3 linked regions of the Tamandua tetradactyla genome follow. The protein of the gene in region 3 interacts with the protein of the main gene of each other region in a pairwise test. Links are inferred from orthologs where the notes say so. Each region holds a gene or a part of one and is shown on either strand. Other genes may lie near its edges. The genes, in order: TCHP, FAM110A and MKRN3.

Evidence for each region.
Region 1: the proteins of MKRN3 (region 3) and TCHP interact in binary tests that used the Homo sapiens proteins (3 or more experiments, as listed by UniProt). The two-hybrid records come from large-scale screens. The link is inferred for Tamandua tetradactyla from reciprocal best matches to the Homo sapiens genes MKRN3 and TCHP.
Region 2: the proteins of MKRN3 (region 3) and FAM110A interact in binary tests that used the Homo sapiens proteins (3 or more experiments, as listed by UniProt). The two-hybrid records come from large-scale screens. The link is inferred for Tamandua tetradactyla from reciprocal best matches to the Homo sapiens genes MKRN3 and FAM110A.

The regions. Positions count from the first base shown.
Region 1 is NC_135331.1:21,551,633-21,562,395, reverse strand, and holds the start of TCHP (trichoplein keratin filament-binding protein), read left to right. Parts: upstream 1-5,828; 5' UTR 5,829-6,001; intron 6,002-7,345; coding exon 7,346-7,533; intron 7,534-8,267; exon of another isoform or gene 8,268-8,316; coding exon 8,317-8,521; intron 8,522-9,115; coding exon 9,116-9,172; intron 9,173-10,398; coding exon 10,399-10,467; intron 10,468-10,763. UniProt on the Homo sapiens protein: Tumor suppressor which has the ability to inhibit cell growth and be pro-apoptotic during cell stress. Inhibits cell growth in bladder and prostate cancer cells by a down-regulation of HSPB1 by inhibiting its phosphorylation.
Region 2 is NC_135327.1:22,720,816-22,731,595, forward strand, and holds the start of FAM110A (protein FAM110A), read left to right. Parts: upstream 1-6,258; 5' UTR 6,259-6,517; intron 6,518-10,780.
Region 3 is NC_135338.1:79,484,263-79,495,119, forward strand, and holds MKRN3 (E3 ubiquitin-protein ligase makorin-3), read right to left. Parts: upstream 4,494-10,857; 5' UTR 4,306-4,493; coding exon 2,674-4,305; 3' UTR 1,960-2,673; downstream 1-1,959. UniProt on the Homo sapiens protein: E3 ubiquitin ligase catalyzing the covalent attachment of ubiquitin moieties onto substrate proteins.

The sequences.
Region 1 (10,763 bases), on a different chromosome or scaffold from region 3:
CTCTAGCTCATTCCCTCATTCCTCCAGCTGCTGCACGTGACAACTGTTAGAGTAGTGCCCATTGGTCATAGTTTCATTCATTCATTCACTAAATATTTATTAAGCACCTACTGTAGGCCATTTACACAGTGGAAGAGACAGAAAGGTCCCTGCTCTAATGGGATTTCCAGTAGAGTATGTGTATGTGTGGCATTAATATTTAAAAATATATATTTAAGGCTGCTATGAATGCTCTGGGGGGGAAATACATGTGTGTCTTGAGGCTGCATGATCCGACCTAGTTGAAGGGATCAGAGAGGGGTTCCTAGAGGAAGGGGCATTTAACCTGAGACCTAGAGGTTGAGTAGGAGTTCGCAGAGGGGAATAACCTTCCAAGAAGAGGGAACAGTATAGTGGAAACTTTGGAGGTCGGGGTTAAAAAGAAGGCCAGCGGGGCTGGTTAGACCATGCAGGGGCCTATGAGCTTGCTCACAGCGTGGTTTTTTGTGCTTGGGGAAATGGGAGCCATAGAAGGGTGCTGAGCAGAGTGACAGGAGCTGCTGCAGCATTGCCCATCAGTAGTCTGAGACTTAGTATCTTAGGAAGCGAAGGCTCCCTGCTCATCAGGAATGGACCAGGGGGTGCCATGTCCATTGAAGCCATAGAAAAATAGGGTTGGCTTGCTGCCCTGTCTTGGTGGCATGTACCCATATCTGACAGCCCAACGGAATGGAGCTGCTTGGACTTTGGGATCCTGACTCACTAAACAGGCCATGGAGAGTCCTCTGTCCCCAAACCTCAATCCCATTTGCAAAGTGGGATTACGATAACCCATACCTCCTAGAGAAGCTGGAGGCCAAAGGGAGGTCTCACAGGCACAGATCAATACATGCTAAGCAATTACTGGCCGACTCTCTTCTTTGCAGCTTTGGTAAGTGGTTCAAGAATTACACTCTGAACACATGGTGCTTGGGGAAAGTCTATTCATGGGGAGGCTTGCTGGTGACTGAAAAACCTTCAGCAATAAGATCCTTTAGTTTGTCTCCTAAAAAGAGACCCCAAGCCAGGGGGGAATGGAGGTGTCCATCACCACCAGGGACCAGATTCTTCCCCCTTCCTGATCTGCTAAGGCCACGCAGCTCCTCCCAGTGTGGCTGCAGAGGTGCCGCGGGCTCCTGCAGATGCGACAACGCCCGGCAACTCCCTGCCCCTAGAAGTCATCTTCTTAGGGGAAAATGAGGCAGAAGTCCACCGTCTGCCCAGTCACCAACAAGGAGCGTGGGTCCAACCACAATTGGCTTAGACTAATCCGGATTCACCCCCAAACCATGTAGAGAGGGGTAGATACCCCATCCCAATGGTTGTTCAGCTTGAGCAAGGACATTGGGGGAACAGCTATTTGGTCACTGATGAGGGATGAGTGAATAAGTTAACATTTCCCAGCTCTTTCCTCTAGCACAGAAGGAAATAAACCCAGCCCTACTGAAGCAGGTGCCTACGTAGGAAATGATCAGTATGAAGGCAATTATAATACCAGTGAGTGTCATCCCTCAAGTTCTAATAAGGGGCCGAGCACTGCGTTAAGGCAGCTGTTAATAATAGTCACAAACCAGTACGAGTATCCCCATTTTTAACAGTTGAGAAAACTGAAGCTCAGAGATACGAAATAATTGTAGCTGGTCAGAGGCTTCATCCTTCACACCATGCTCTCCTTGAAAGATAATATAAATAGTGCTTTAGTTTGCTTTGGCTGCTCCAGCAAATACCATGCAATGGGGCGGCTTCAACAAAGGGGATTGAACGGCTCATGGTTTTGAGGTTAAGAGAAAGTCCAAACCAAGACATCATCAAGGCGATGCTTTCCTCCTGAAGACGGTGGCAACCTGGGTCTGGCTGCTGGTGATCCTTGGACCTGGGCTTCTCTGTCACTTGGCACATGGCGGCCTCTCCTGACCACTCCCTCCTCTTCTGGGTTCTGTGGACCTTCGGCTTCTTGCTTCCCACAGCTCTCTGTCTTTCTGAGTTTCGTTCTGCTCATACAGGATCCTGGTAATAGCACTCTCCTGGTGCGCGCCTTCCATGCGGGAACCCGAGTTCGATTCCCAGATCATGAACCCACCCCCTCCCACCAAAAACAGAAGACCCAGCCTGACTGAGTGGGGCCACACCCGAACTGAAGTAACCTCATCCAAAGGTCCTACTGACAATGGACTCACACCCACAGCGATGGATTAAACTTAAGAACATGCTTTTCTGGGGTCTATGGATACAAACCACCACAAATACCAAAAAGAAAAAGAAAAAGAAAGGTCAGTGCTGTTCCATCAGAGAAATATATTCCACCAGATGGAAGCAGACTGAGCTACTTGAGGGTTCTGAATAGAAGGTTCTGGAGCAGAAATCCATTTTCCAGCCTCCTCTGCACACAGGAGAAAAAGGCCTGTTAGAACAAGCTCTGATGAGCTCTCCCGATTTACAGAATGGAATCTGATGGGAGGTTGCATACCTGCAGGGCACCAGGGGCAGGCAAATTTCCTCAGGGGGACGCCCTCCACTGTGCTGCTTCTTATTAAAACACCAATACGGGCTGGTGTGATGGAGGCTCAGTGGCAGAGCTCTCGCCTGCCATGCTGGAGACCCGGGTGCCTGCCCATACAAAAAAACCAACCAAACAAACAAACAAAACTAATATGTGCTCATTTCAGAAAACACGTAAGTCAAAAGAAGAATCACAAATTAACCCGTAATTCAATACCTGCCAATGTAATAAGGCAAGAAAAATAAGTAAAAGCCATCCTCATTGGAAAGGAAGAAATAAAAGTGCCTCTTTTTCAGGCCACATAATTATTTATATGGAAAATACCAACGAATTGGAAGCAAAACTTCTAGAACTAATGAGTGTGTTTAGCAAGGTCTCAGAATAGAAGCTCTCTATAAAAAAATCAATTGTCTTTCTATATAATTGCAATGAACACTTGGAGTTTCTCCCTAAGCACTGGAAGTATTAGGCTGGGGAGGGGGTTGAGGTTTTGTTTTTTTTGGGGGGGGTAGTGCATGGTTCAGAATCAAACCTGGGTCTCCTGCATGGTAGGTTAGCATTCTACCACTGAGGGGGTGAGTTTTTTTTTTCTTTAGGTGACATAATCCTTTCTTACCACTTCCTTTATTGTCATGAAAATTTTGAAAAAAACCTTTCAATTAAAAAAATCAGCATCGTCCCATATTCAGAGATTTCTACCTAAGACACCCCTAAAACATGTCCTTGAAATCATCAAGATTTCTTTTGTAAATATTTTAATAACATCTCACAATTTCATGTATGACATATTATCATATCTTTACAACAGAATGAGGCAGATTACTAGGGCATTTTACAGGAGAAAAAAAAAACAGTAATTTTTACTTTATTTTAGAAGCTATTACTTCCTTCAATGTGAATCTGTCCTGGCACATAGTGGGTGATCAGTAAATATTTGTTGGATGAATGCCATTTAAGATATGATTGGATTTATGAGTTTGCAATTTTGCGCAGTTTTTCAAAATATTTGATTCTCTTTTGGCTCCCTCCAGTGCAGTCTTTTTGAGTAAAAGGATGGAAATCTATTTGCAGTGATTTATACAAGTAGATGTTTATTTGGAAAAAGTGAGTTAGAATTGGCCCCTTGAGCTGTTATCCACCCCTAAAATTATATAAATTATATATGTGATATATAAAATTATGTGATATCTTAACAAATTAATTGACTACATATTTCACTTTAAGCATAAAAAAATAATATTACAATGAAAAACTTATTTTAGGAGTTTTTTTTGGGAAAAAAGCCTTTAAGTCATTAAATTAAAACTTTAAACCAGGACAATAATAACATCATGGCTTTAGAATAAAATCTGGCATGTGAAATCTCTGTAGCAGGATCAGCCACACTCTTTAGTATTTGCTGAATGATACAAGCAATTATGAAAGGGAAAATAAAGCCATTAGTAATTGTATTGCTGCTGAGATTAATAATACTACCTTTTACAATAGCTAAAATATTACAACAAAAATACACATGAGAGCGCTCTAATCAGTCAAACGGAGAGGCATAAACATTTCTTACTAGGAATCAGACTTTCAAAATTTAAGTAAAAAACAGTACTATGGTTTTATAGATAGAAAAATTAAGGCCCAAAGAAACTGTGATTTATATGCTCCATTTGTAGATTAAGTAAATTGGGTATCAACATTTTTAAAAAGTTTGTACAGCAGTGAGGGGGGTGAGTTTTGACAGAGGCATGAGACCAGACCCTGGAATCAGACTGACCTGGGTTCAAATCCTGACTTAGCAGTCTATACGGCCAAGTGAGAACCCCCACTGGGAACAGAGGCTGAAAGCAATGGAGCCCAGGAGCAGGGACAACAGATGCCAGCCACATGACTTCCCAGCTAACAGAGGGGTTCCGGAAGGTAACACCCTATCTTTAGTGAATGTAACCTCTTATTGGTGGCTTTGTACATTTTCTCAGTCTTAGAACTGTAAACTTGTAACTTATTAAATTCCCTTTTTCTTTTTTCTTTTTGCATGGGCACGCACCAGAAATTGAACCTGGGTCTCTGGCATAGCAAGCGAGAATTCTGCCACTGAGCCACCATCGCACCACCCTAAATTCCCTTTTTAAAAGCCATTCAGGGCAGGCCATGGTGGCTCAGTGGCAGAGTTCTCACCTGCCATGCTGGAGACCCAGGTTTGATTCCTGGTGCCTGCCCATGCAGAAGGGAAAGAAAAAGAAAAAGCTGTTCAATTTCTGGTATGTTGCATTCAGGCAGTTTAACAAACTAATACAGGCCCCACTGTGTTGTGACTGAGCTGATCACAGCAGGTGGTTGCCTCTGTCCACTGGTGACATAATATGGTAGAGTGATCCTGAACTTGGCCAAGTGGGTACAGACCAATGCAGAGGCCAACCTTGGGGGAATCTTGTGCATGGGGCAGGGTACACAGCAAGTAAATGTCTGTGGGGTAGAGGAAATGTGAAAGAAATCCCCCCCAAGCCCCCCTGCCATGCCCCAAGCACTCTGTTCTGTTCATACCTTTACTGACTCCCCCAAGGACAACGCTAGAAGGTAGAACTCTCAACGATGAGGAAGATGAGGCACAGAGAGAGGAAGCAACCTGCCTGGACCCCCCAGCCAGCATGGTGTGCGTTGGCATTCTGACTGCAGAGACCATGCTCTTAAAACAGCGTCCAGGAAAGACAGAAATGAATAGAGGAATGGAAGAATGAAAGAAGGAAGTGAGGAAAAGAATGGAAAAATGAAAGAAAAGATGGAACAAATGCAAGAGTGGATATTTACTTTATTATCTTTTTAATGGAATGTTCGATGCATAAAAACTTGTAACTCATGTAATGAATGAACACTGAGAACCAACCACCAGTCTAAGACTACAATAGAAAATTATCAATAATTTGCATCTACTTAACGTTAGTGGTTCTCACCTTGGATGCATATTGAAGGCAACTGGGGAGCTTTGAAAAACAGGCTATCCAGGCCCCACCCTCAGAGAGTCAGATGTAATTTGTCTGGGGACTGGGATTTGAAGCGCTGCACAGCTGATTCTCATGTACTGCCCGGTTGGAGGAGCACTGGCTTATATTATCCTCCCCTATCCTAGCCCCCTGATTTCCTGCCACCCCAGGTAACCACTATCCTGAATTTTGTATGCTGAGTGGATTATTTTCCTCGCCCTTCCCTACTTCAAGAACCGACGAAGTTTGCTATTGATCTCCCTCCTACCACGAGGGGGCGCTAGAAAAAAGTACAGTCTCCTTTTTCTCCTTAGAGCGTTCAGTATTGCGCTGGAGGAAACTTGGTCCTCGCGGCGCGCCGTCTCCCGGCCCGTTGCCGGGACAACCAGCGGGGAAACGGTCGGCTTCAGTGCTAAGAGTTTCCGCCCGGCCTCTGGCATCTGCTCAGCCTGATCTGGCCTTGCGGGATCTAGCGGGCCTGGGGCTCCTCGGAAACTCCCAGGCGCGGAGAAACGTGAGTCTGGAGGCTGAGTTCTTTCGGGAGCCGGCGTTGGGGCTGGTACTCAGAGGCTCTGGCCGCGGTCGGCCGGGCGCTGGCGGAAAAGGGAGCGAGGACCCAGGGATACCGCCGCAGGGAGCCTGGAAACCTGGGCTCCGGTCCTCACTGTGGTACTAACGAGACATGGGGTCGAGGCCTCCCGGCCGTTTGCTCGATGTGGATGTTGAGGCTCAGAGAGGGAAACGGCTTTCTCGGGGAGCTGGATCTTAAATTTAGTGCAAAGATTTATCCACTGGCTTTTTTAAAAGGCAAGGGGAAAAAAGCATGTCAGGCCAGCCAAAGTCTCAAAACAGAGGTCGCAGGCCTGTAGGCCGAATTGGACGCATAGATGTAGATTATTTGTCTGCAGCTTCTGAAGGACTTTGAGTTTGAGACTCTTGGCGCGGTGCCAGACCCATGTGCTTATTCAAGAGACCTTCCTCAAGCACTACCATAGCCAGGGACTGTGTAGATTTTGTACCTGAGGACAGCTGTGGGCTGGGGGAAGGTTGTCCTGGCTACAGTGAGACTGCTTGCTTTTTTAGTCTAGCTGTGTCCCCAGATTGCCCCGCAACCCCTGACAAGTCACTTCCTCTCTCTCAGAGGAAGTTTCTTCAACTGTAAGATAAGGGATCTGCCCTCCGTGGGGGCCCAGAAGACTTCTAGGTGTGACTCCTTGCCTGGCCTCTCGCCTGCGGCTGCTAGAACCAGGGCATATTTGTCCCAACAGGGAGCCTTTTGCAGTAGACAGACCCGGGGCTCTGGACTCAGACCTATCTGAATTAGAATCCCAGGTCTTTTATTTCCTCTCCTTTCTGGCTGTGTGAGCCTTGGCAAGGTGCTTCACCTCTTTGAACTTGTTTCCTCATCTGCCAAATAATGGGGTGGTGGTAAGAATGAGAAGGGTTATACATGTGACAGATGCTGGGTACATACAAATGTTCCTTAAATTACTGTCCCTGTTAGTTTATGAAGAGTACAGAAGTCCCCAATATGCCAAATCTAGCATTGCTGGGACTGGTCCCCTGTCTCTGTCCTCAGTGCCTCTGATAACACCTGGCCCACATCTGGGTACATCCTGGTTTTATTAAATCAGTGATTTGCAGCCCGGGTGGCAGATCATTTTTAAAATGCCAATGCCTAGGCCCCATTCTAAGATTTTCTGAGAAGGTGAGGCCTAGGTATGGGTATTTTTAAAGACTCCACGGAGTAATTCCAATATACAGACAGGGGTGAAGACCACTGAGTAAAAGGATGCCAGCCTTGTACAGGTTCCTGGGGTTTGCAGTTGGAGCATATTCTTACCGTTGCTGTTCTCAGATGGCACTGCCCACGCTGCCCTCCTACTGGTGCAGCCGGAGGCTTCTGGATCAGCAGTTAGCACGCCAGCGAGAGCAGGAGGCCCGGCTTCGGCAGCAGTGGGATCAGAATAGTCGCTACTTCAGGATGTCTGACATCTGCAGCTCTAAACAGGCAGAATGGAGCTCTAAGTCCTCTTACCAGCGGAGGTAATTGCGCGGTGACTGCCAGCTGGGTGGAAGTGGGGGGCCACTCTGGCTGGTCATAGGACGTGGTGGAAGGACATGTGGCTTGACTACATATTTTCTTGAGGGGTTTGCTGAACAGCATAGATTACCTGCATAGTGGTGATTTTTTTTTTCCAACTGGAAATTAAAGAAAAAATCATATGTAAAGTTACACATTAAAAAAAAGATAAAACAATATAGAAGTATATGAAGTGGCGCCTAGAAGTCTCTTTGTAATACCGCCTCCCCAGAGAGAACAGTTGGGTACATATCCTCCCATACTTTTTCCCATTTGTGTTTGTGTATAAATAGACCCCCCACACACACACATCCATCCATTGTTATAGAAATACATGTTAGTCCAAAGCATAGGCTTTGGATTCAGACAGATCTGTATAGAAATCCTGACTGTGTCACTTACTATATGAATAAGGCTCAGTTTCCCAAGCAGTAAAGTAGGCTAAAATGGAACCTTCTTTAGGATTTATGCTATGATTAATATAAAACTATCCATATAAAGATACATGTATAGCTTAGTCCTTGGCTTGTGGTAATTGCTCAAAAAATATTACCTATACGTTATCACATGCATAACAGTATTTGTTTATGGATACAAAATTCTGTTTTGCATCCTGTCCTATAATCTGCTCTCTCCACTTTGGTTGGGTGGCACCTATCTGTGTCACCACGGTATGTCCACCTTTGGTCTTTCGCAGAGCCTCTGCTGTAGTCTGAGTGGTTTATTGTGGGATCCTTCTCACCCAGCATGCATGCTTATCAGCGGGAGAAGTTGAAGGAGGAGAAAAGGAGGAGTCTGGAGGCCAGACGTGAGAGGCTCAGGCAGCTTCTGCTTGAGGAGCAGAACCTGCTGGCCAAAGAACTGGAGGACCTGAGCACAGACCTACGGGAAAGAAGAATCCGGGAGCGGCATGGGAATCTGAAATCAGCCCGAGAAGAGCAAAGGAAACTGGTAACGTCCCATAGACCTTCAGAAGGTTCAAGAGCAGGAGCATCCCCGGCCTGTCAGTGTTGTATACGTGGGATCACCCCTGGGCACTCTGATCTGATGGTGGTCGATGCCAGAGACAGCTGGGAAAAGTGCTAACTCTAAGTCTTTGTTCAGGTAGTGTGTTTTGCACACACAAGTCATTACATCCGAGTCCTTTTACTTTATTCCAGTTCTGTGGTTCCACAAAGGTCTGAGCATGGTATATTTTATCTTCCAAAGTAGTCGTTTGGAACAGTGAGCTCCAACGTGTGTTTTTAAGCCTGCTATACCTTTTGAAATCTCCTAGATACAACCTGTGTGTGGCATCAGATTTTTGCCCCCTCCGTTGCCATCATGAGAGTCGTTTCTTCTTTCGGTGCTCTTGTTTCTGCTCTGGCAGTCTAGATCCCATAGCTGGGGCTGCAAGGCAGGCAGCAAGTGAAGGTTGGGTACAATGAGGTTGTAGTGTGGAGGCGCCGTTAGCCTGGCTGTCTGAGCTGACTCCCATTGCGGGTTGTCTGAAGAGTGAGTAGATTTGGAAAATGACATCAGGCCTCCTTTGTATTTTCTTGACAGATTGCTGAGCAGCTTCTGTATGACCACTGGAAAAAGAACAACCCCAAACTTCGAGAGGTAAAAACTAAGGAGATCCTTCACTGATTTGCCTAAGTAGATGAACTCATGTTTGCAGCCTTTTTAAAAACTTGCATCTTTTGCTGGGTTGAGGCAAAGGAGGGAACTGCTTAACTATGAGACGAGCCTGTGCAGAACAGCTGGAGTGGACTGGAGCAACAGTTCATTCACTTGTTTAACAAACATTTACTAAGCATCCACTGCCCGGTCCACCACATGGGACGTGCAGATTAGATGTGGTACCTGTGTTTGCAGTCCTGAAGGGAGACTGTGGGCAGTGGAGAGACAGTGGTCAGATGGTTACAGTGCAGGGTCCTGGCTAAGATGGCATCATTCAGCCAAGAGGGAATATAAGGAAATTGGGCTAGAAGGAAAGAACTCCGTCACTCATAGCATTGATTTATTTCAGTCCACTTTTCAAACTTTATATAGTTTGGTATCATTAATTTATGCACTTGCAGTAACATTTAGAAATTGCCAGTCACTGAATAATAGAATAGCTAGGTGCTTTTGAGTATTATTATTATACAGATGGCTCTAAAATGGGCATTTGTTGACTTAGGTGGCCCTCCAAAACTGTTTACTCACAGACAGGTTTATTCAAAACATTCAAGTTAGAAATTGAGAAAGAAACTTTTAAAACCCATATAAACAATTTCCCCAAAAAAAGCTTTTTGATAGAGTATTTCCATTCTATTTCTGAACCCAAAGATTCTCTGAACTTAAACCTCTTATTATTAACCCTGTAGTGCATTGTTTGATACAGGGAAGCACATGTTTTTACAGCTATTGCTTTGCAAAGGGAATTTTGGGGACTTGGGCAGGGGTTGAGTCTGCTTCTCCCCCAGGTGACTTCAGGTGCCCTGTGGCCCGCATGGTCTTAGACCAACCACAGTGGCCTTCTGAAATTGTATTTCCTTTTCAGTGTCTGCTGACTGTCTCTGTCCAACCCAAAGGGGACTGGGAGGACAGAGTCTGTTACTTTGTTCCAGCTCTGGAGAATGGTTCAGAAGCACCTGATCATTTGGTTTTCCAACTTACTTGCATTCAGACCATGCTGTGCTTTGCTCACTGTTCTGAAGTGGGTACCTGGGCCACTTTGAGTTCTTTCAAAGAAATGTCATAGTCATGTACCAGCTGTGGCCCAGAAGATAGTACATCAGCCCCATGATGAATATCAGATGCACCCGTGAGGAAAATAATATTCTCCCCCTTCTCGTCCTCAGATTGAATTGGACCTTCACAAGAAGCATGTTATAAGCTCTTGGGAAATGCAGAAAGAAGAAAAAAAACAGGTGTGGTATATGGTTCTCAAAATAGTCCTATGTGCTACAATATGAGAGGCTCCATCTCTTTTGTTTCCTGTTTTCAGTATTAATAACTCTACGCAAAGAATAGAGGGTTTCTAAGTTTACTTAACACATGTTAGTGTTTGCTCTGGCACATTATAGAGTCCTCTGAGATCATCCTCAGGGACAGAGAAAGACCAGGTGATCAGGGCAGGTAGGCCTGTCTTGGGGGTTCTAAATGGAATTGGCTTTAAGGGCATTTTTGTTGTTGGCAGAGTCCCTTTTTAAATCTCTTTTGATGT
Region 2 (10,780 bases), on a different chromosome or scaffold from region 3:
TGTTGGGAGCTACACATTTGGCCTTGTAGTTGCTCTGACCCTGCCTGATGTGGAATCAAATCCTTTCTAAGGGCAGAAATCCAGAGCCCTGCTTGGGTTGTGGGTCTGGCGAGTCTCCATTGTTATTACCTCCATTGCACAGCTGGAGAAATTGAGCCTAAGAGGGAGGAGGGTCCTACCTGGTGGCTGAGTGGCCCACAGTTGGCTGGGCCAGCAGGTGTGTCCTGGAGCTGGAATGCTGTGCAGGCCCCGATTCTTTTGCATGTGCCACCTGGTTCTCTGGAGGCATCGCTGGTGGCTGGAGAGGCATGGACTGCAGGGACCTGGAGGCAGAGGATGGTCTCTGTGTCTCACCCAGGGGAAGTATCTGTGCTTTAAAGGGGGTGCTGGTAGGGGTGGTGCACCGGTGGCTCAGTGGCAGAATTTTTGCCTGCTGTGCTGGAGACCCAGGTTCGATTCCTGGAGCCTACCTATGGCAAAAAGTAAAAAGGGAGAGGGGGATGCTGGTAGAGGAGCACGTGTCCCCCGTCACATTCCAGAGACACGCTCTCGAGACAGTGTTTCACTATTTCTGTGGACTGTTTAGGAAGGGATTCAGGGTTAAATATGTTTGGGAAACAGTGGAGTAAGCAAAGAGAAAGAGGCGTTTCTGCTCCAGTGGTCCTCAGAGCCTTTGATATGATGATATGAATTGCAAATCTCTAATTGTGGGACAAGTGGGAAAGAGTGGGGTGGGCTCTGTCCCCGGGGGGGTCACAGTTGGTACAGGAGACGGACAACACACAGCCAGCTGAACACACCAGCTGTCGGCAGGTTGGGGCTCTATGAAAAGACACCATGTGAGCCGTGGGGGAGGCTCCAGGGGGGATGGTGTTTGAGCAAAGACTGGAAGGAGGTGATTCTGGGGTGGGGGTGGGGGGAGCGGGAAGGGAAGCAGCCTAGAAGAGGGAGCAGCAAGTGCAAAGGCCCTGAGGCTGGAGCAAGAGGGGCTAAAGGCGAGGGTAGTAGGAGAAGCAATTGCCAGCGGGCAGCTCTGAGAGCCGGGGCAGTCAGTGCGGGTTGGGGAGGCCTTGGAGAGTTTGGGGCATGGGAGTGACTCCTGGAGACATGTTGCCCCATGAGCTTTAATGATCTGAATCCCTGGGCGTGGGGCTGCGGCATCAGGGCTCCCCTGTGCAGCCCTGGCCAAGGCCCACCCAGAGAGCTCCCCTTGGCTTTCAGCTCCGGCTCGGCAGCTGACCCTGGCCAACCTGAGTTGACTCACTGCACATGTAGCGTCCGTCTCCCCAGGTAGAATGTCAGTTCCCTGGCAGCACTGCTGTACCTCCAGCACCTGAAACCAGGCCGGTCATGTAGCAGGTGCTCAATAAATATATTTGTGGAGAGAATAAATGGAGAGATATGCTATTAAAACCTCTTTCCATATTACTTATATTACTCAGTATTCTTCAAAAACCTTATTTTAATGGCTGTATAATATTCCATCCCAGTTCCATTCACCATGCTCATTGCCCTGTTGCCAGGAAATTAGGTTGTTCCCCCCTTTTTAATTTTATATACTTTTAATTAATAACAATGTTGTGGTGAACACTCTTGTTTTAAATCTTTCTGCATCTCCATCATTTACTTGGGGTCAGTTTGTACAAGTGATGCAAGTACAGGCCCGTTCGGACGGCATTTAACACTCATCCGAACGGGCATCCCCGTTTGCCTTCTTGCCCATGGTGTTTGGAGGTACTTGGCTGTATTTTCCTTTAGTTCGCTGTGCTCTCTTGTTCACTCATAGACTATCCTTACACATGTTATGTATTAAAAAAAGTCACGGGGGTGAAATTCACAAAACATGGAACCAACCATCTTAAAGTGAACAATTCAGCGGCGTTTAGTACATGCACAATGTTGTACAACCACCACCTCTATCGAGCTCCAAAACATCTTCATCACCCCAAAAGGAAACTCAACCCCATTATGCAGTTACCTCCATTTCCCTCTCTCCCCCAGACCCTGGCAACCGCCAATCTGCTTGAGCTGCTTTCTGTCTCCATGGATTTATCTATTCTGGATATTTCATATAAACAGAACCATACACTATTTGGCCTCTTGTACCTCGCTTCTCTCACTTAACACGTTTTTATGATTCATTCATATTGTAGCAGCTCTCAGAACTTCACTCTTTATATGGCTGGATAATATTCCACCATATAGAGACACACTTCGTTTATCCATTCAATATTCGTATTGTGTCCACCTTGTGGCCACTGTAAATAATGCTGCGGGGAACACTGATATACAAATATTTGTTTGAGTATCTCTTTTTCATGCTTTTGGGTATATATACAAGGAGTGGAATTGCTGGGTAATATGGTGTCTCTATGTTTAACTTTTTGAGGAACCACCAAACTGCTTTCCACACATATGTTTTTTTTTAATAGATAATATATTTACAAGATACAAAATCCAAAGGCATAAACACTATTTTCTAAAAAGCTTTCCTCCCTCCCCTGTGTCCCAGCCACCCCAGTAACCTCCACTTCCAGAGAAGTTAGATGCAAGCAAATTTGTATGGCAATAACACCCTTTAGATTAAAAGAAACAAAATAAAACACAGCCATGGGCACCCAGGAGACACAGAGCTGACATCTGAGGCTAATGGAGACACAGAGCTGACATCTGAGGCTAATGGAGACACAGAGCTGACATCTGAGGCTGATGGAGACACAGAGCTGACATCTGAGGCTGATATCATCTGGATTTTGAGCTGAGTGGAGAAAAATCTACCAAGCTCAGGGCTCTGGAGGAGACGAAGCCCACAGTGAACGAGCCACGGGCCTGTCAACAGGGCAAGAGGTTATTGCTGTTCAATCGTGCTGGGCCAGGGTGAGGCCATCAGGGCTGCCCAGCTCCGGGCGCAGCTCATGACAGCTTGTCCACCTTCTTATTCTTATACCCCCACCTTGGGGGTGGACAAGGCCTGGGACACTGTCAATCGCTCCAAATTGGCACTGGGTGCTTAACAGGTCCTTGATGATCGGGGACATTGCCAATATGCTGCTGGCAGATGCAGATGTCCAAAGTTCTCAAATCTGACTGCACCCATATCATCTCTCTTCAGTGGCATAATCTGGGGTCCCGGGGAAGTTTGTTGTACTCTTGTTTGCCTCACTTCTTCATTTGGGAATGAGCTTTTGAGTTTTTGTTTAGTTTTGTTTATTTTAAGCCCGAGGGTTTGCAGGACAAAGGGAAACATTGAAGATGTCAGCAGGGCCTTTCATCAAGGCATCTCAATGATCTCCCAACCCCTGATTAAAAGTGTACATCTCAGAGAAGAATCTGACCAGGACACCATGGCTGTCATTCCCATTTTAATGATGGGGACGCTGAGCTCTGGGAGGCACCCTAGCAATGTGTTCACAAGGTCATATGCTTTTGCAAAATTTGCCAAGGTAAGATATTTTAGCTGCACTCTGCTCAAACCACCATCTCTTTGTACTCCAACTTCTCTTTGCCGTAGGTAATGTTGGGGGTAGGTTGGATGACATTGGGGATGTGGCTAAGGGGACTTTGAGTTGAGGACACATTTGCTTGGGTTTAGTAGATATATTTATGCTGTTTCCAGTCACTTTTGTGAATAAATTATTACTAACTGACCTGATATAAGAATGGCTTTCAGGAATATCCCTACCCTACCACAGACACTATGCTTGCTCAACTGGTGTTGCGACATGAAGGTACAAAGTCAGAGGTCATATTGACAAGAATGGGCTTACAGTACCCGACATTAGAAGTATATGGGGAATAGAGGAGAGGTTTGAAATGTACACATGGAGCCAGAAGCTAATATGTGGGAAGAATTTTAGAGGTATGTCAAAGAGGTAATTAATTAATAACAATAATGCCATTTTTTTCTGGGTTTTTTTTGTGTGGAATTTGTCAACTTTTAATACTTTGTTATTTGTTGTGTTTTTTATCTTATTCACTTTTGTGCTTAATTTTATATTTGAAGTTGTGTGCTCTTTTTTTTAAAGACGTCCACTTCAAGTGTATAAGCGTATTGGTTTGTTAATGCTGCTGGAAATGCAATATACCAGAAAGGGAACTGCTTTTAAAAAGGGAATTTATTAAGTCACAAGCTTATAGTTCTAAGGCCATAACAAATGTCCAAACTGAAGTAACCAGAGAAAGATACCTTGACTCAACAGAGGATCTATGAGGTTTGGGGTTTTTCTGCCAGCTGGGAAGGCACATGGAGAAGTCTGCTGGCTTTCTCTCCTGGCTTCTCATTTGGAAAGCTTTCCCTGGGGTTATTTTCCTTTTGCATCTCCAAAGGTCCCTCCTCTGTGTCAGTTCTGAAGTTTTTTCCAAAATGGCTCCCTCTTAAAGGACTCCAGTAAGCAATTGAACAGGTGGAGACATAGCTCCATGGAAACCACCCAATCAAACGAGTCCTAGCCACAATTGGATAGGTCACATCTCCATGGAAACAACTTAATCAAAAAGATCTCACCCAGCAATACTGAGTCAGGACTAAAGAACACGGCTTTTCTGGGGTACACAATAGTTTCAAACCGGCACAGTAAGTATAAGCTGTGGAAAGCCCAGATCTGCCCCTGGTCAGATTTCACTTTTGTTTTACAGGATCACAGAACCCTCTTTGCCTTCTCTCAACACTGCTATTGAAGCTAATGCCAAATAGTTATGCACATTTACAGGGGAACAAAAGAATGGTTCAGAGCTCTGGTTCTGGATCAGGCAAGTCTTAGTTTATTCATCAAAAAAAAAAAAAAAAAGGAAATAATAGGATGTTTCTACTCAGATTGTATTGAAGTCAGATGAGATAACCTGTGTAAAGCCTCGAGCATAATCTAGCAAAGAGCATAGTTAGTGCCAGGTTTCATGTTATCTGGTGCTCACAGGTAGAGCCAGACTCCCTGTTTATGATGCTATCTGTGCTGATTTGGTTGGTGCTTGTGCCAGGGTACACAAATCATTTTTAGCTACTGACATATTGTCAAGTGCCCATCCATTCAGTGGCTGCCCAGGTTATGGACACAGTTAAGTGCTGCATCATTGGCTGAGCAATGAATAAATGAAAGATACCAATTAGAACGAAACAGAAGCTGGCTCCAAATTGAGCAAAATCCTATACCCAGTGAATCACTGTTACAAAATTTCCTCATTTTGAAGGGCCCTTGGAATTAATTTATTCTAACCCCTTTAAAATGTCTTTTTTTTTTTTGACAAATTCAATTGTTGGAAATATGGAAGATCCATAAAAGCACAGAGAAAAAATTAATCGCTGTAATTATAAATAATTATACATATGCACCTGGGCTGCTTCGTTATGCATTTACCATATATTTATATGCAGTAAAAGTTGCTTTGAAAACATGCTTTCTCCCCCCATTTAATACACCCTTAGCATCTCCCCCTTATCTTTAAATATCTTTTAACTACATCATTTTTTTTTCCTTGCATGGGCAGGCACCGGAAATCGAACCCGGGTCTCTGGCATGGCAGGCAAGAATTCTGCTACTGAGCCACCGTCACACCGTCCTTAAAGTATTTTGAAATGATTGCATAATATACCTCATCAGAAAATGGGTGTAGTTAAATGCTCACCTATCTTACGTGGATTATAGTGAGCACGGACAGTTATGTCATATAAAGCTGCCTGGCATGTAAAAAGTTCAATAGTTATCTCTTATTGTTATTATTCCATTTGAAGACCTTATATAACAAATCCTCTTTCACTGGGTATTTGTTTCCATTACTTTGCTATGGTGAATAACACGGGGCTGTATCACTCCTTGGTCACGTCTTCGATCATTTCCTTAGGATAAATTTGGGGGCTGCAGGATATACACATTTAAAAAACTAACCCATTCATTGTGTAGTCGGGGCAATAGAGAGGGGAAGGGGCTTGCCCAAGCTATTTAGCTACTTAGCTGCAAAGCTGGCATCAGAAACCAGTCCAGAGCCGCTCACTGGTGCTTCTTCCAGCTGGGGACCCGGAGGAAATCCCCATTTGGGAGAGGCAGAGGGAGAACGAAAGGAAAGAACCAGGCTCCCTGACTAAAGCAGCCACCGGAAAAAACGAGCGGCGGGCGGGGAGAGAAGCGTCAGGCGTGCGGAGCTGCGGGGCGTCAATCTTTAGACCGACGCTAAGCTGTCGCCTGGCAACCTGCGCGGCGCGGCGTTCGAACGGAAGTGAGGAACCAATCAGGATGTCCGGGGCGAACCATTCCGGCGGGTGGGGGAGGGTGGACAGCGGTGCTCTCACTTCCCCTTCCTCCGCGCCCCAGGGAACCTTCGCTTCGGTGGGGGCCTTTGGAAGATCAGAATCCTTCGCCCTTCTCAGGTGCGGAGAGCAGCTCTGTAGAGGCCCCTGCGGGTCCCCACGAGGGGCTGGATCTTCCCGGCCCGCGGTGGGAGCGGCCACTACCAACCCGGGTCCGAGCTGTCAGCCTTCCCAAGACCCGCGCTGGAGGAGCCCGGACTCACCTGACGCGGGTTCCAGGTGAGGGCGCGGGAGGTCCGGGGCGCGAGCGTGGGGCTCGGGTGCGAGGGGGCGACACTGTTCACCGATCGCCTGTTGTGTGCGTCCTCACCGTGTCGTACCTGCGGGGAGGCGTGGTACCGATTTCACAAATAAGGACCCGGCGGCTCAAAGAGGCCAGTGGCCTGGTCGGGCGATGTCTTGCAGTGAATTCAATTCAGGTCTTCCTGCTCCACCTCGCAGCCCCTAATATAGACCCAGGGTTCTAATTCCAGCCGCTGCTCAGGGGTAGGGGAGGGAGGGGGGAGCAAGCGGGACTGGCATTTCCGGGCCATATGTTGGGTGAGCCGCAGATGCTCTGGCCCCCGGAATCGTTACTGGCCTCTTGTGACTCTGTCCCAGGTTGGGGGCAGGGGAAGTCAGTATAGACGGTTAGACCACACCCCCATGTGGAGTTGGGAGCAGGCCCTACTTTCCAGGGACCCCTATATGCCTCAGGTTGCTATCGTTGGTCTCCTTTTGCAGATGGAAAGACGGAGGTTCTGAGAAGTTAAGGGCCTTGCTGCAAAGTCCCACAGTGAGATTTGGCAAATCTGGAGTGGGCTCCCAGTGCATCAGGCTTCAATCTTAGAATACTAGACATTCAGAATCATAGGATCTGACAGTCTTGGATCCCTTCACAGGGGAGGAGCAGGAACAGTGCTATGCCAAGCCACACTGAAGTCCAAAGTAAAAGGAGAAATCAGAAATAGTGATCCTATCCTGTCTTTATGGTCACACACTTACTGCATAAAATCACACATGTAAATGTCAAATTTCAGTGCTGCAGTGGGAAGGGGGTGAGGGCTCTGAGAGTGCTTACAGTGCCCCTGAGCTAATCTGGGGAGGGCTCTGGGAAAGGGCCATTTGGACTCTGAGAGCTGAAGGTTGGGGAAGCTCCAATTGGGTGGGAACATTCCTGGCAGAAGGAGCATCAGGAGTAAAGGTGTGGGGGTGGGTCAAGCCTGGGGTGGGATGGGGCTGTGGCTGGGGAGAAGCAGAGTATGTCACCAGGGCAGGCCAGAGTCTCCATCCCTGGCATTTGGGCCATATGAGGCCAAGGGATTGGAGGAGACACAGACACACCAGGAGGTAGAGATCTGAGTTCCCGTGTGCTTCTGCTGCTGATTTGCTGTGTGACTTCAGGCACATCTGTGGCCCTCTCTGGGTCTCAGTTTCCCCATCTGTACAGTGGGGAGAGTATCAACACCTGAATTCTTCCGGGCTTTAGGGGTGGGCCCTAAAAAAATGTTTCTAGGATGGAGGTGCTGGGCGAGAAAACCCCTGAGCCAGGCTGGGTGCCTCTGGGCTGGACCTCAGTCCTTCATCTGGAAAATGGTATGAAAAGGTGGCAGTGGTTTAATACGAAGGGCAGCTGGCATCTCTGTTGATGACAATGGGTAGCAGCTACTCTGTGCTTGACAACAGGCTGTCCATGTTACTCTCACTGCCTTGTGATACCCCTGCCTCCTCCATTTCATCCCCTCCCATCTGCAGCATCCTTAGAAAGTGAAAAGTCAGCCAGCTGGGACGTTATTCCAGGAGTGTAATGACCTTCACAACAACTGAAGCTAACATTTATTGAAGACTGTCTGTGTGTTATGCTGTTGGGAGGTCAACTCACATGGCCTCCACCAAGCACAGTCCCGCCGTCTCTGACATGGTTACAAGTGCGTGCTCCTCACCCAGCTGTCTCCCCACTAGGCATTTCTTCCAGGCAAAAAATGATGTCGCTGCAGTGATGCTGCGGTGTGGTTTGTAGTGGGCAGAGACTGGACGCTCACTAAGCGCCCATCAGTAGGAGTAGGAAATAATACCGTGCAGCTGTGAACAGGGCCAAGGACGTTCTTTCTGTGCTGTTGTGGCACCCAGAACAATACATATTATTGAGTAAAAAGAGCAAGGGTGGAAACAGCACACACAGCATGTTGCCATTTGTGTAAAAAAAAGAGAAAGAATATGCATCCTGGGAGGACATAGCTATCTGGTCATAGTGTGCCTGTAGGGAGGGGACAGGGAGGGACTTTGGTTACTCATTTAAAATTTTGAGCCATGTGAATCTATTACCCAACACTATGAATTTATATATTTGATCATGAAAACCACTGCCTTACCCATGATCTGTCACTGACTTGCTCCGTGACTGTAGGTCAGAAGTTTCTTCTGACCTCTAGGCTGACGTACAGAGTCATGAAGGTGAGCCCTGAGGCTCAGTCCCCACTGAAAGCCCCTTGTCCCCGTTCTCAGAGGTGCAAACTGAGGCCTAGAGGGGCCATGTGGTACAGGTGGGCAGCAGGTGAGTCAAGCACCTCTCCTATGGCCTGCTCACCTCTCCCTTCCTGAGGAGAAGGGCCGGATCCTGGGCAGGCCCAGGCGTGAGTGTCCGGAGAGACTCCACAAATAGCACAGCACTGGCTTGGCCCTGGAGGGTGCCAGGCTGCATGTCTCTGACCTGAACAGCTGGGCTGAAATGGAGCTGAGGCTGCCCCACCGGCCGGGGCCCCCTCCCTGCTGCCTGGAGCCTTCATGATCCCCTCTGGGGCAGGTGGGGCCTCCCCGACTCCCGTCAAGTCCCAACTGAGCTACCACTGGAGGGAAAGAGAGAAGCAGATGGAAGGAAGAGGGGAGTGTGCGGAATGCCACGGTACTGTAAACATCAGAAAACACAGCTCCCACCCCCTTAACAAGGGATCAAAATCAGTAATTCCTCTTGAGCACTCACGATGTGCTTTACATGTATGAACCCATTTAATTCCCTCAACTCTGTGATGTAAGGGAGTTACTGCACTTCTCACTTCCATTTCATAGAAGGAAACTGAGCCCAGGGGAGCTCAGTAATCTGCCCAAGGTCACACAGAGCTTAGATTTGAATCCAGGCAGCCTGGCAGAGTGCTCTCGACTCTGCACTCTTAACTGTTACTCATGCTACTTTCAGATTTGTCACTCTGATGAAGGCCTCGCCCAGTGTCTGGGCAGTGGAGGATCTGGTTGGTTGAATATTCATCACAGCTCACACTTGATGGCATTTGTCATGCACAGGCCTCACACGGGGAGGGAGGCACTGTTAGGAGTCCTGTTTTATAGTTGGGGAAACTGAGGCAGGCAGAAGTTGAAGATCTTGCCCAATGTCTCATAGCTAATCACTAGTGAAGCCAGGATTTGAACCCAGGCCACCCGGTTCCAGAGTCCAGACTCACATCCCCTATAGAGTTGACCAGAGAGATGGAGTGAAAAAGGCAGGGACCCAGCATGTGCAAAGTTTTGGATGTGGCATATGTGCAGAAAGAACAGGGCTCAGCTGTAGGTGGCCAGAGCCCAGCTTGAAGGAGGGTGACTTGAGACTGGAGGAGGAAAGAGACAGTTGGGGAAGCTTCAGGCAGGGGGCAGACCTTGGCACTGAGGGGCACTGACCTTTGAGGTGGCCTGGGTTCCAGTCCAACCACTTGGTAAATGTTATTTCCTTTTATGCTTGGTCCCTGGAGGAAGAGTACAGTAAGGTTTGGTGGAGCTTCCAGCCCTGTGGAGGTGACAAGAAGCAAATAGATAAATAAGTGAATATCCAAAATGACGGATGTGATGAATGCATAGAAGGGAACAAAAGGGACTGAAAAAGAATTGGTGGGAGCCTCTCAGGATGGTCTGGGAAACCTCTGAGGAGGTGACGTTCAAGGTGAGACTTGAAGAAAGAGGTTTCAGGCAGAGAACAGCAGGTACAAAGGCCTGAGGCAGGAAAGACCTGGCTTGGTCTGTTTGGGCACAGCGGGGAGGGCAGTGAGGCTAGGGCAGGAGCGAGGCTGGGATGAGGTGGGCCCGGCCTGTGAGGTCTGCACAACCTGAGGGCTGAGTGGGGAGATTGGACTTTATTCTGAGGCAATGGGGAGCCACAGGAGGGTTTAAACAGAGCAGTGATGAGATCTGATGTCTGTTGCAAAAATTTCTGTTGCCATTGTCCCCATTTTACAACTGAGGAAACAGGTCCAGAGCCATAGCCAGGAAGTGGTTCCTGAGATGGCTTTTTCTCCTGGGGTCCAGATAGGAAGGCTCTATATTCCTCAGGATTCAGACATACCCTGTGAGTGGCTGAAGCCAACACTGAAGACTATCTCCTCCCCAGACCTGGGTTCAAATCCCAGCTCTGCTATTTATCAGTTTTGTGACCTTGGGTGAGAAACTCCACCTTTCTTGGCCTCAGTTTTCTCATCTGTAAAATGGACATCATAGAGATATCTACCCCACTGGGAGGTG
Region 3 (10,857 bases):
CATCTGCCGCACCCCCTCACCCCGCCCCTCTCTGGAGGTCTTCCCTGACAACATAGTCAATATGCAGTTTAATTCTGAACTTTTGATGTTGGCACAGCCTTGATGAGAGTTTTCCATCTGGTACTGAACTTTGGAATTTTTTTAGGGAGGAGTCTAAGCCTTCATTTCCTTGAATGACCAGGTCCTTTCAGGAGTGGAAACATGATTTTATTTCATTTGGAATCTCTCAATTTTTATATCAATAATATCAGAGCACTAGGGGCTTTTTTTTTTTTGGCTGGAGAACTCTGGATAAATGGCGGGAGGGAAGGGATGTGGCAAAGCCCCCAGTGAAACAGTCTGAAGTATTTACCCAGAGAACCCGGAAACATAGTAAGGGGACAGGCAGCATAAAAATATTGGACCTGAGGCACATTCTGAAAATTGGACTGAGAAATCATCTAGCAACCTATACATAAAAGCCCTAAGGCTTTCATGCTTTTCTCCCAGAAGCTTATTTATGCCAAGTTCCAACCTAGCTGGCTGATCTACCTTCATTTAAAGTCTATACCCCTAGTTTTTAGCAGCCCTCTTCAGCAGGTCCACTTGCCCAGTCATATAGAGGCAGCATGGTACATGAAAGTGTTCTGTAGTCAGACTAACCTGAGCTCCGTTCTTTGTTCCACTAATTTACACCCTGGGTCAATTCTTGGGCAAGTACTTTAACTACCTCATTTACCTTTTCAGGATAATATGAAAAATTATAGTAGGTAATATTTAAAGTTGTTTGAGAATTTAGTGCATTAAAGAATGCCTAACACATGGTGTAAACTTTAAATGAGCCCTGCCTTTGTTGGATAGTCATTCCAGCTTGAATCTCCCAAGATTATTTTTAGTTACCTCTGTTACCTGTACAGACAACATACAGCATTCTATACAGGTCAATTAAGTAAACTGCTAAAATTGGGTTGTTCAAATCTTTTAAATGCTTACTTACTTACCTTCTTACTTTGCTTGTTCAAAAAATACTGAAAAAAAGATTTATGAAAATTGTCCACTAAGATTTTGGATGTTTCTATTTTTATTAATTATTTGCAGATCTTAGGCTATGTCATAAAATGTATATGAAACAAACATACTTAAATCTTCCTGGTAAATTGTAAATTAAATATTTATATAATATTTCTCTCCATTTCTGGCCATGTATTTCCTATCACTTTCAGGGTTTCTGCAGTCTGATGTTTTAGGTGTTTATTTTCAAAAGCACATTTAAATTTATTCTTTTATTGCATGGCACCGGGAAACGAACCCGGGTCTCTGGACATGGTAGGTGAGAACACTGCCTGCTGAGCCATTGTGGCCCACCCTGAAATTAAAATTTCAATTTCCATAAAATCTAATTATCTGTCTTCACTGCATATAATTATAGTGTATTTGTGTCATAAATTTGCCATAGTACTATAGTATTTAGTTTTTGGTCCTATCTATACTTTATTTTTTGTCTTTCCAATCTTTTATTCTGAGTGATTTCAGTATTTTTATTATTCTTTTATTTTTATAATTCTGTTACTTTTATGCTGAAAACTTTTCCAAAAGCCCCTAGTCTTGAAAGGCTAGAGATAACAAAATATTGATTACAAAACAAAAAACAGTGTATCTGAGCATAGAGTTGTGCTATTAAAAAGATAATGAGACAGTGCTAAACCACATAGGAACATGAATTTTTGCATTTAGGATAGCAAAGTGAGCTATTAGTGAAATCAAATGAATGACCCGCATATTTTATGTTCATTAGGGTCTGTGTCTGCCACACTTGGTCAAAACCATTTGAACAGTTGTTTTAATTAAATTCTAATCACTGAAGGCTGTGCAAGGACAGAAAGATTATTTACGCATCTTACACACACACACACACACCAGCCAATACTGTCAGCCTTTGACTTTTGGCTTCCAGAACTGCATTTATTTTATTACATAAACATATATATGTTCATATACATATTCTTTAAATATATATTTCTCACGTACATTCACTTATATGCACATATATGCATACATATAAATTCTTAAATATATACTTCCAAATATAAATAATTTTTATGTCAAGCCAAACAGGATAAAAACATGTAAACATATGCACCTGGTTCTCATCAAGTAAAACACTAAATCGTAAATAACCACGAGATCCACAAGATAACAAGTTCAATTCACAAAGGATGAGGGAAGGGATTTGCATGTAAACAAAGAAAGACGTGCAGCTGCACCACAAGACCCATAAGGGTCCATTCTTAAGGCTGTAGTAGCAAAAAAGCTCCTTGGTCAGTTAAGATTGCTCCCTTCACACTGTCACATTTCTTCTTTGAGGGACTTCAAAATTTTTGGAGTGTGGAAATTTTCTATACATTAATCTGGAACTGAGTGAGCCATGTTGAAACCAAAGGTGATAAAATAACCATAAGCTAAGGGTGACATTCATTTCACCAAACAATAAATTCAATGATTTTTCTGCTACTTTTTAACACAGAAAAACACCATAATCCTGACAGAAAATGAATTGGAATTGTGCAAGAAAACAGTGACACTACAAAAATTGCTTCCACAGCCACTGCAAGTGTTACACATGTCTATAAAGGAACACAGGCAATATCAGATGGCAAAGCCTCAGCAGCTAAGACCACAAGCCACAACACAATGCTACAGATTCAAATTAAAATATTCTTCCAACTCATACTGAAGTAAGTCCCACAGTTCCATGGAGAAGAAGCATGTGTCACCCCCCAGTGAAAGAAAATGCTTAAACAGCAAATTGGCCAGCTTAAGTGTGATAAGCTCCTTTCTAATCTTCCTAAAGCATATGCTGCCCTCTCTCACAGGCTCCACAAGTTGATTCCAGTAAGTACTATATGCCCCACCACCCTGCCCTGCAGGCTCCTCTGGAGCCTGGCCCTGGGGCTCCTCTGCAGCCTGCCCCTGGGCCTCCTCTGCAGCCTGCCCCTGGGCCTCCTCTGCAGCCTGCCCCTGGGGCTCCTCTGCAGCCTGCCCCTGGGGCTCCTCTGCAGCCTGCCCCTGTGGTTCTTCTGCACCCTGCCTCTGAGGCTCCACACCCGCACCCTCGGGGTATGCATGCTTGTAAAAACAATTTTCTCCAAAGGGGCAGCAACCCCTGCCTTCATCAAAATACCTGCAGGCTTTGTTGCTCATTGCTTCCTTGTACTGCTGAATTAATTTCTGCTTCTCTTCTTCCTCCTCCACCCAGAACTCACTGGGAATGACAAAGTTGGAGGTGACCCTGCATTGTGGGCATGACTTGATAATCCTGTACTCAAAGTGTTTGGCCCTCCTCCACACGCGGATACACTTAAGACAGTAGGTATGGTTGCAATTAGAGAGGATGCCAAAGCGGCAATCGCTTGGGTTGGCTTTCTCATAGACAACCTCCATGCAGATTCCACACACCTTGTCCATACTGCGTTGCACAGCAAACGAGAGTTCCATGTCCTTCTCATGAGCTTCAATGCAGGCTTTTATGTGCTCGGCTCTCTGGTCAGCATCCAAAGGGTGCAGGATGTGCAGCCCACACATATCGCATGCCTCTCCATGGAGGTAAGCACAATTCTCCCCACGAAAGCATCGTCCTGCGGCAGCATAGGGACAAAGCTGCTCCCTCATGCTGACTGCCATATGCTCCTTCCTAGTCACCGAGCTCCGAACAGGATGCTGAGGAGCAGAAAGAGCCCTACGGCCCCTGTAGGGCTGCCCGGGAATGAACTCAATAGCATCTCCCCAGGATTCTGCACCTGCTCCGGCAGCTTCAGAGCCTGCATTGTCAGTCTCAGCTTCAAAGAAACCCCTTTCAGCAGCCGAGCCAATCGGAGGCGAGGAGCGTGAAGACGCAGCAAGGGGGGCTTTCGCCACTTCCTGAGTCAGGGGCTTAATGTGCGCAGCCGTACTGGGGCCTTCGTCTGCAGAGGCCTGGGGCTGCGAACTACGGCTTTCACTGGCTGGCTGCCTGCCTGAAAGGTCATGAGAGTAACGACAGTTCTCCCCCTCCTTGCACAGCCCATGCAGATAATACCTGCACACGACTTGCCTCGTCCAGCTGCCGGGGCTTCGTCCCTGCAGGCAGCGGGGCCTGGCCCCTCCCCCTGAAGCCCGAGCAGGCCCCCGCACTGACGCACGGAAGGGGGCTGGGCCTGAACCTGCCGGCTGCCGGCGGGCCTCGGGGACCGGGAGGCCGGGCCCGGGGGCACCCCCCTCTGCTCCCTCGGCACCCGTAGGGGCCCCTGCTGCCTCGGAGGCTTCAGAGGGAGCTGCAGGCTCTTCCATGGCAGCTTCTTCTACCCGAAATGGTGCCGGAACTGCCCTGCGTATCCTCCAGCATGTCTTCCATTCGGGCTTGAGGCCCGGGAGAGCTGGGGGCGGGATTCTTTTCCGGAAGTGCACTTCTCACTTCCGTCCGCCCTTTTCCTGGTCCCTGTGGCTGTGCGTTCCTTCCTGGCAAGCCTGTCGGCCACTTCCTGTGGGGGCAGTGTTCGTCCTCTACCTCGTGTCCACCCACAAGCACTCTGACTGGACTTTTCCTTTGTTCACGTCATGCGACCCTTTTGCCCGTTCTCACGGCTGCTGCTTCTGCTCCGCTCACCATTTCTTTGTCTCTGCGGCGCTCCTGCAATTCCAATTCCCTTCTCACAGGGTCTGATCTGGAATTTATAATCAAAACCTTTTGGGGTTTTATTAAATCTCATCTCATTCATCCATTCAAGTTATATTAGCTTCTGTTTCTTCATACCAGTCTGTCTTTTTAACCATAAGCCCTTATCTCCTTACGTGTAAAAATTCATAAGTGATTTTTGAAAATTCTGTTTCTGTTCACTGCTTTATCATATGTCTGTGGGATCTGCATATGTTTCCTTCAGGTCTGTGGATTTCTAGTCTTCTAAGCTATTGTTTTCTGTGTTGTACTGAAAACGTTTTTTCATTTGGCTCTTATTGTTTGCAGGCTCAAATGGATTAAAGTTAGAGACATTTTTCATCAGTGAGTTGGTATCAGGGAACATTTGTGATCTGAGGCAACTTTAGCACCGTTCAGATGTCTTAATTTATTGTGGTTTCAAATTTTCATTTCCCGGCTGTGCAGAAGCCCCAGACTTTCCATTCCAGACGCTGATTTAGTAAGGCACAGTGCCATGACTGACCCTTGCTTTTACTTTCTTTTGCTGGTTTAACTCATGGAGAGCCTTTGTCTCCTTCCTTCTTTCTTCCCAATCATCTGATTCAGGGAGTTTGGGCTGTATTGTGGCAGCTCAGCCTTTCAGAGCATATTCTTTATCACACAACCCACAAGTGGTGCTTTTGAGTTTCCTCATGTGTGAGCTCTTTGTTGTATTGCAGATGCATTTTAGTAGCTTAATTAAATTCTTTTATGTTCTTAGTTTGCTAAAGGTATTTACCGTGAATGTATGCTGAATTTTGTCAAATAATTTTTATGTTTACTGAGAGATGATCATATTTTTTTTTGCTTTTACTCTGTTAATGTGATTATTTAAAATGATAGATTTTCAAAAATTTCACTTACTGTTTTTCCAATGAAACCGTTATGTGTTATGATGTATCATGCTTTTATGTATTATTGGATTTTGTTTGTAAAACATATTTCTTAGAGGGAAATTTTAACCTGAATTTGTATTGTAAGTTGGAAGAGAGTGTGAGTATTTCTGATATAAACATTCAGTACAACAAATTAAATCCTGATTAAATAAAAGGAAGCAAAGAAAACATTGAAATAAATAATAAGAAAAATAAATTAATAAAAGGAAAAATTGAAATAAGGAAAATGAATCAAGCAAAAATTTTTGAAAGGATTAATAAAACTGATAGATTTCTGGTGAATCATAGCAAGAAAAAATTAAGAAGGTTTAAATAACCAAAGCAAGAAATTTAAAACGTGGTATCACTACATGGTGGGCATACATTTAAAATCATAAGGTGATATCAGGAAAAAGATTAGGCCATTAGACTGGAAAATGCTTGTGAAGTCATCATAGCCTAGAAAACATCTATTAATAAAAGTAGCATGAGCAGAAATAAGAAATATGAATATTGTTCAATTAAGTGAATTTAATCCGTAATTTAAAATCATTCCCTTAAGGAAATTTTTTAAAGCGTAACCTCAGAAATTTAAAAAGCATAAAGGCTCATTTTTGCTATTGCAAATCCTAGCCACTGAAATAAGGCAAGTAAAAAAATGAATAAAGTTTGTTAAAATTGTAAAGGAATTATTGATGAAAGACAGTAGAAACTTGAGGATAATTTGCAGATAAACTATTAAAACTAAAAAGTACATTTAGCAAGGCCCTGGATAGACGCACAGTATGCGAAAATCAGTTGTATTTATATATCATCAAAATATTAACAATTTCATGAGCCTATATAACATAAAAAGATAAATATCCTGGGTTTTAAATTTATATAATATAATTAAAATGTTTTTATTTAGGAAGACATAAATATATTGAAGAATACTACATAACCACAATATTTTAAAAAGATAAATTAATCTTAATTTGATAATCTTATGAGAATACTGCTGCTTTTTATCCCACCGAGAACCTTTGTACTCCTGGTGATTTTGTATTTTGTTTTCCTTTTCATGTTACTGAGTTTTGTATTTCATATGCATCTCTTCTGAAGTCTGTCTTACTCGCACTCTCTGCGGTAGACTTTGTCTTTCACGGTTAGTGAATATTCCTTCGACAGCTTCAATTATTTTCACATGAAAAAGACTCAGAGCACTGATATATATAGCAAGCTCAGTTTCACAAAAGCAAGAATCCTGAACTTGGAACTACAACTTGTTTCATAGTATTTTGTTCCAGCATTGTGTCCAGATTTTGTTATCCTCTTTTTACAGACCAGCACTCTCAAGTAGAATGCTCTGTGGTGATGAAAACGCTTGATATACATGCTGCCAATTATGTAGTCACTTGTTTCAGGAAGCCACTGAGCACTTAATTGAAATAATGCTAGGATGATAGAGGAAATTAATTTTCACTTTATTTTTAATGTGGTTCTAGAAATTATTTGACCATGTAGTTTCAAGGACAAAGAAACTGAAAAGTAGAATATTTACCTAATCTGCCTAATGCTCTGCAGCTGGGGAGAGGCAGCATTTGCTTTCAAATCCCTCCCATATAGCTCCTAATTGTATTCATGTCCTTTTATCTCACAGTGGACTGTATCCTGTAGTTTTATAGTGATAATATCTCATAAAATTAGAAATTAAAATTAATTCCTATGTTTTAAATACCACATGAGATCAAATATGAAATATTGGATAGTTCATCTTGGGAGAAATAAGCAAATATTTCCTAGCCTGGCCAAACCTCACTCCTCAGAGGATCTTCTCTTATTGCCTTAGTCCAGATCCCTGTCCTAAATTTTTTTATGCATGTGATTTGTTTTCACACCGTCTCTAAGAATACATATCTGATATTTGCACTAGTTTTTTGGCTCAGCTGAGACCTCCTTTCCCAATAAGATGCCTTAGAACTTCATGAGCTAGGATTTAACTGAAACTTTCTTGTATACCTAATACCCTGCACAGCAGCACCAGCATCTTCTGGCTGGTCAACAGCTGGGTTATGAAATGGAATGAAAGACAGCAAAGCTGCACCTGAGCAGACTGGGCTCAGCACCCAGGTCACCAGAGAGCATCATGAGAAGGGGAGAGGTGGTTTACACAGTTGAGGCAGTAACAAGTAACCCTAGAGATGGGTCACTGGTTCAGAAGTGGACTGGAGGGATGGATAGGAAGGAACTTGAAGGTCCTGAAGTCTTGAGGACTTGAGGCTTGAGGAACCTGAGTGGGCAATCTCTAAGGGACCCACTAGATATGCTGTATAGAAATTATTTTGAAGTAATTTGTTAGCAATGTACTCAGGTGTGGTGAATCAACTGTGTTTGTAAATGAATGAGACTATGAGCTGTTTCCAAATACGGAGCTCTCCACAAGGGCTTTTCTTGTAGAAAAAAAATATTTTGCTTCCATTGACCTAACTCACCCCACCTTCAGCCCTTTGGCCACCTCCAAAGAATCAGTGGAGATTTGGAGATTGGGCAAATGGCTGCTCAGAGGATCCTGGAGGACTACTGAGCCATTTCCAACTCTGCCAACTGTGCAGGCACTAAACAGCCATCTTGGTTAAGTAGGTGTTTGAAGCCAGGTGACATGCCATGGTACGCCAGTGACCTGTGTTATGTACAATGATAGCATTGCCATTGGTGAGACATACCTACTGTCTTTCCATGTCAGACAGTTGGTCCCCAGGGTCTCTCAACATACTGGGGGTGGGGATGGGGCGGGCAATGAGGGTATTACTGCCAGCAACTTAAGGTCTGTAGGCAACAGGCTGAACATAGGGGAAGCAACAATTTTCTGCAATTTGGAAAGTCACTGTTTGTCAGGTTTAGCCCTCTCCTGTAGGTACTATTTCCATCTTACCAGTGAGGCTTCAGTGGTCATGCTGAGCTCCTGTTGGGGATTCTCTCTCACTCAGCATTATGTGAATCTGCATGTACAGGATGACTAGTTGGGGCCCTGGAAGCACCTTCATTTAAAAAGAGCCCGATAAGCATCCAGGACTTGCCATGCTCAGTTTAGGGACTCTAAGAGCATATTCACAGGTATCCAAGGCCTCTAATTTGTAATCTGTTCCTGATGGGACAAGGGTTTGGGAATGACTTATGCAAATTCTATGATGCATTTTTGGGGCTTTCCCTAGGAAGCCAGCAGATGTATGTGTGATTTATATATGGGCTTTAATGAGAGTGGGAGATGTAGTATGTGTTACCTCTAGAACACAAAGAGGTGTTGTGCATGTCTTAGTATCTGAAGTAGGCTCTGCTTCATTGTGGTGGGACTCTGTCTGCCCTTAGAGGACCAGATTATGTTTAGGGCTTTGACAGAGATTTCATGGCTCTTGTATTTAATAAGGTGCTATTGCCCAGTCTTGTTTCTGTAAATGATGGTTGAGAGTGAGTAGCTCCTCTTGGATTGTTGCTTTAGAGTCACCCCTTAATCAGAGGTATGTTATATAGTGCCAGTATTAGACCATTTTTTAAAGACAATTTGTTAAGGTTTTGGCAGCAGTGGTTAGTAATTTTTTTTTACATATTGACACTGAGTAAATCCTATTGGGCAAGTCATTCTTGGCAGGTCAATTGCCCATCTCCTGTGCATATCTTTTATTAATTAGATGAAGTTAGGAATTGGGGCTCTGATGGGCAGGACTTGTACATGAAGGTTGTTATAACTGAGGATTAATCACTCTTCGTTGGTGAAAGCTTGAAGAAAACTGGCTGAGTAGAGCAGTTAGAGGGGAGATGGTAGACATCACGAATGACTCACTCTTTGAGGAGATATTGGATTATAGGCCCAGAATACCTTGTTTCAGGAGATATTGCCATATGTATCACTTTGATTGGCATGGTCTGTTCCACAGCAGCCCCATTTGACCTGACCCATCATGGGAGCCAAGGATTTGATCTTATTCTAGATGTGTTAAAGCATAAATGCCTGTAATGGGGAAAGTGTGAGCAAAAGATGCCGCCACTGGAGGCAGAGGTTTAATAAGAATTGTTTCAAAAGTCACAAGTCCAGGGTAGAGGCCATGTGGACATTTTCTGGGTGACCACTGGGGCCTGATAAGCCAGGCTCTGTGACTCTGATGTGAGCCCTCTCATGTCCTGCTAAAAATTCCACACTGCATACACCCGTGCAACAAATAGGAGCCCTGCCTAGAAGGTTGAGCAAGGCCTCCCAGGTACACTGGCAGAGGTGGTTTCTTGTAAGAAAATTTCCTATGACTGGATGTCAAAGGGGTCCTCCACAGGGCCAGAGACAATCCCAGTTCCTTTTGTCTGAATGCCAAAGAAATGGCTGGTAGTCCCTGCCTTGGTATTAATAGACAGCATGAATAGGTGTGTGCTTTATTTTGCTAAAGCTGCCAGAATGCAACACACCAGAGATGGATCAGCTTTTAATAAGGAGATTTATTTAGTTACAAATTTATAGTTGTCAGAGTGTAAGAATAGAGTTAGGTTTAGCTTTCACACAAAATAATGCAGAGTGGATAAAAGGAAACTAACTAAACAAAAGGCAGGAAAACCAACTCAAGTCTGTTTCACTGACAGGGAAAGGAAAGAGCCACTAACAAGCCTTAAAATTGGCATCAAATCCTTATTAGATAAAAACAAGTCTAAACAAATAACAACCAAGGTCACTGGGATGTAAAACATAATCAAAAGCGGTATCTGTTGATGGAAAATTTAAATGTTAGACTACTCAGATAAGCTATAACCTCTGGAGCATCCAATCAGTGGAGATACAGGGGACAGAACTGCTTGTTAGGCTTAGGGGATAAATGCTAATGTTTTCTGTCACTTGGCATGGCAGCCACCACATTTTGGTTGTGTACCCATTCTTGCAGGGTCATTAATAAATTCTTTTCTTCTCCATAATTGTAAGCCTTTATTCTCTTTCAGGTATGACTTTCTTTCTAACAACTTTGGGGGCTAATCCAGGATCCAAGGCTTCAGAGGAGGACCCCTAGGGAGGATAAACAGAAAGCTTGCCCTGCTGATTGAGCAGTGTCAGACTTTGCCATTGGGGGTTCACTTCTGATAGCCAGGAGGACCCAAAACTGGATGCTTAGATCCACTGATGGTGAACAAGAAAAGGGGAAGGAAAAATATGCCTCACAGTGGCCAGGCCACTCTGTGCAGAGACAAAGTAAGAAAAGGACTATTAAGTATTGCCTTTTCCCACAAGGGAAAAGGCTGGAGACAGATGAAGAGAACTGGTACTAAGAAAAAGAATGC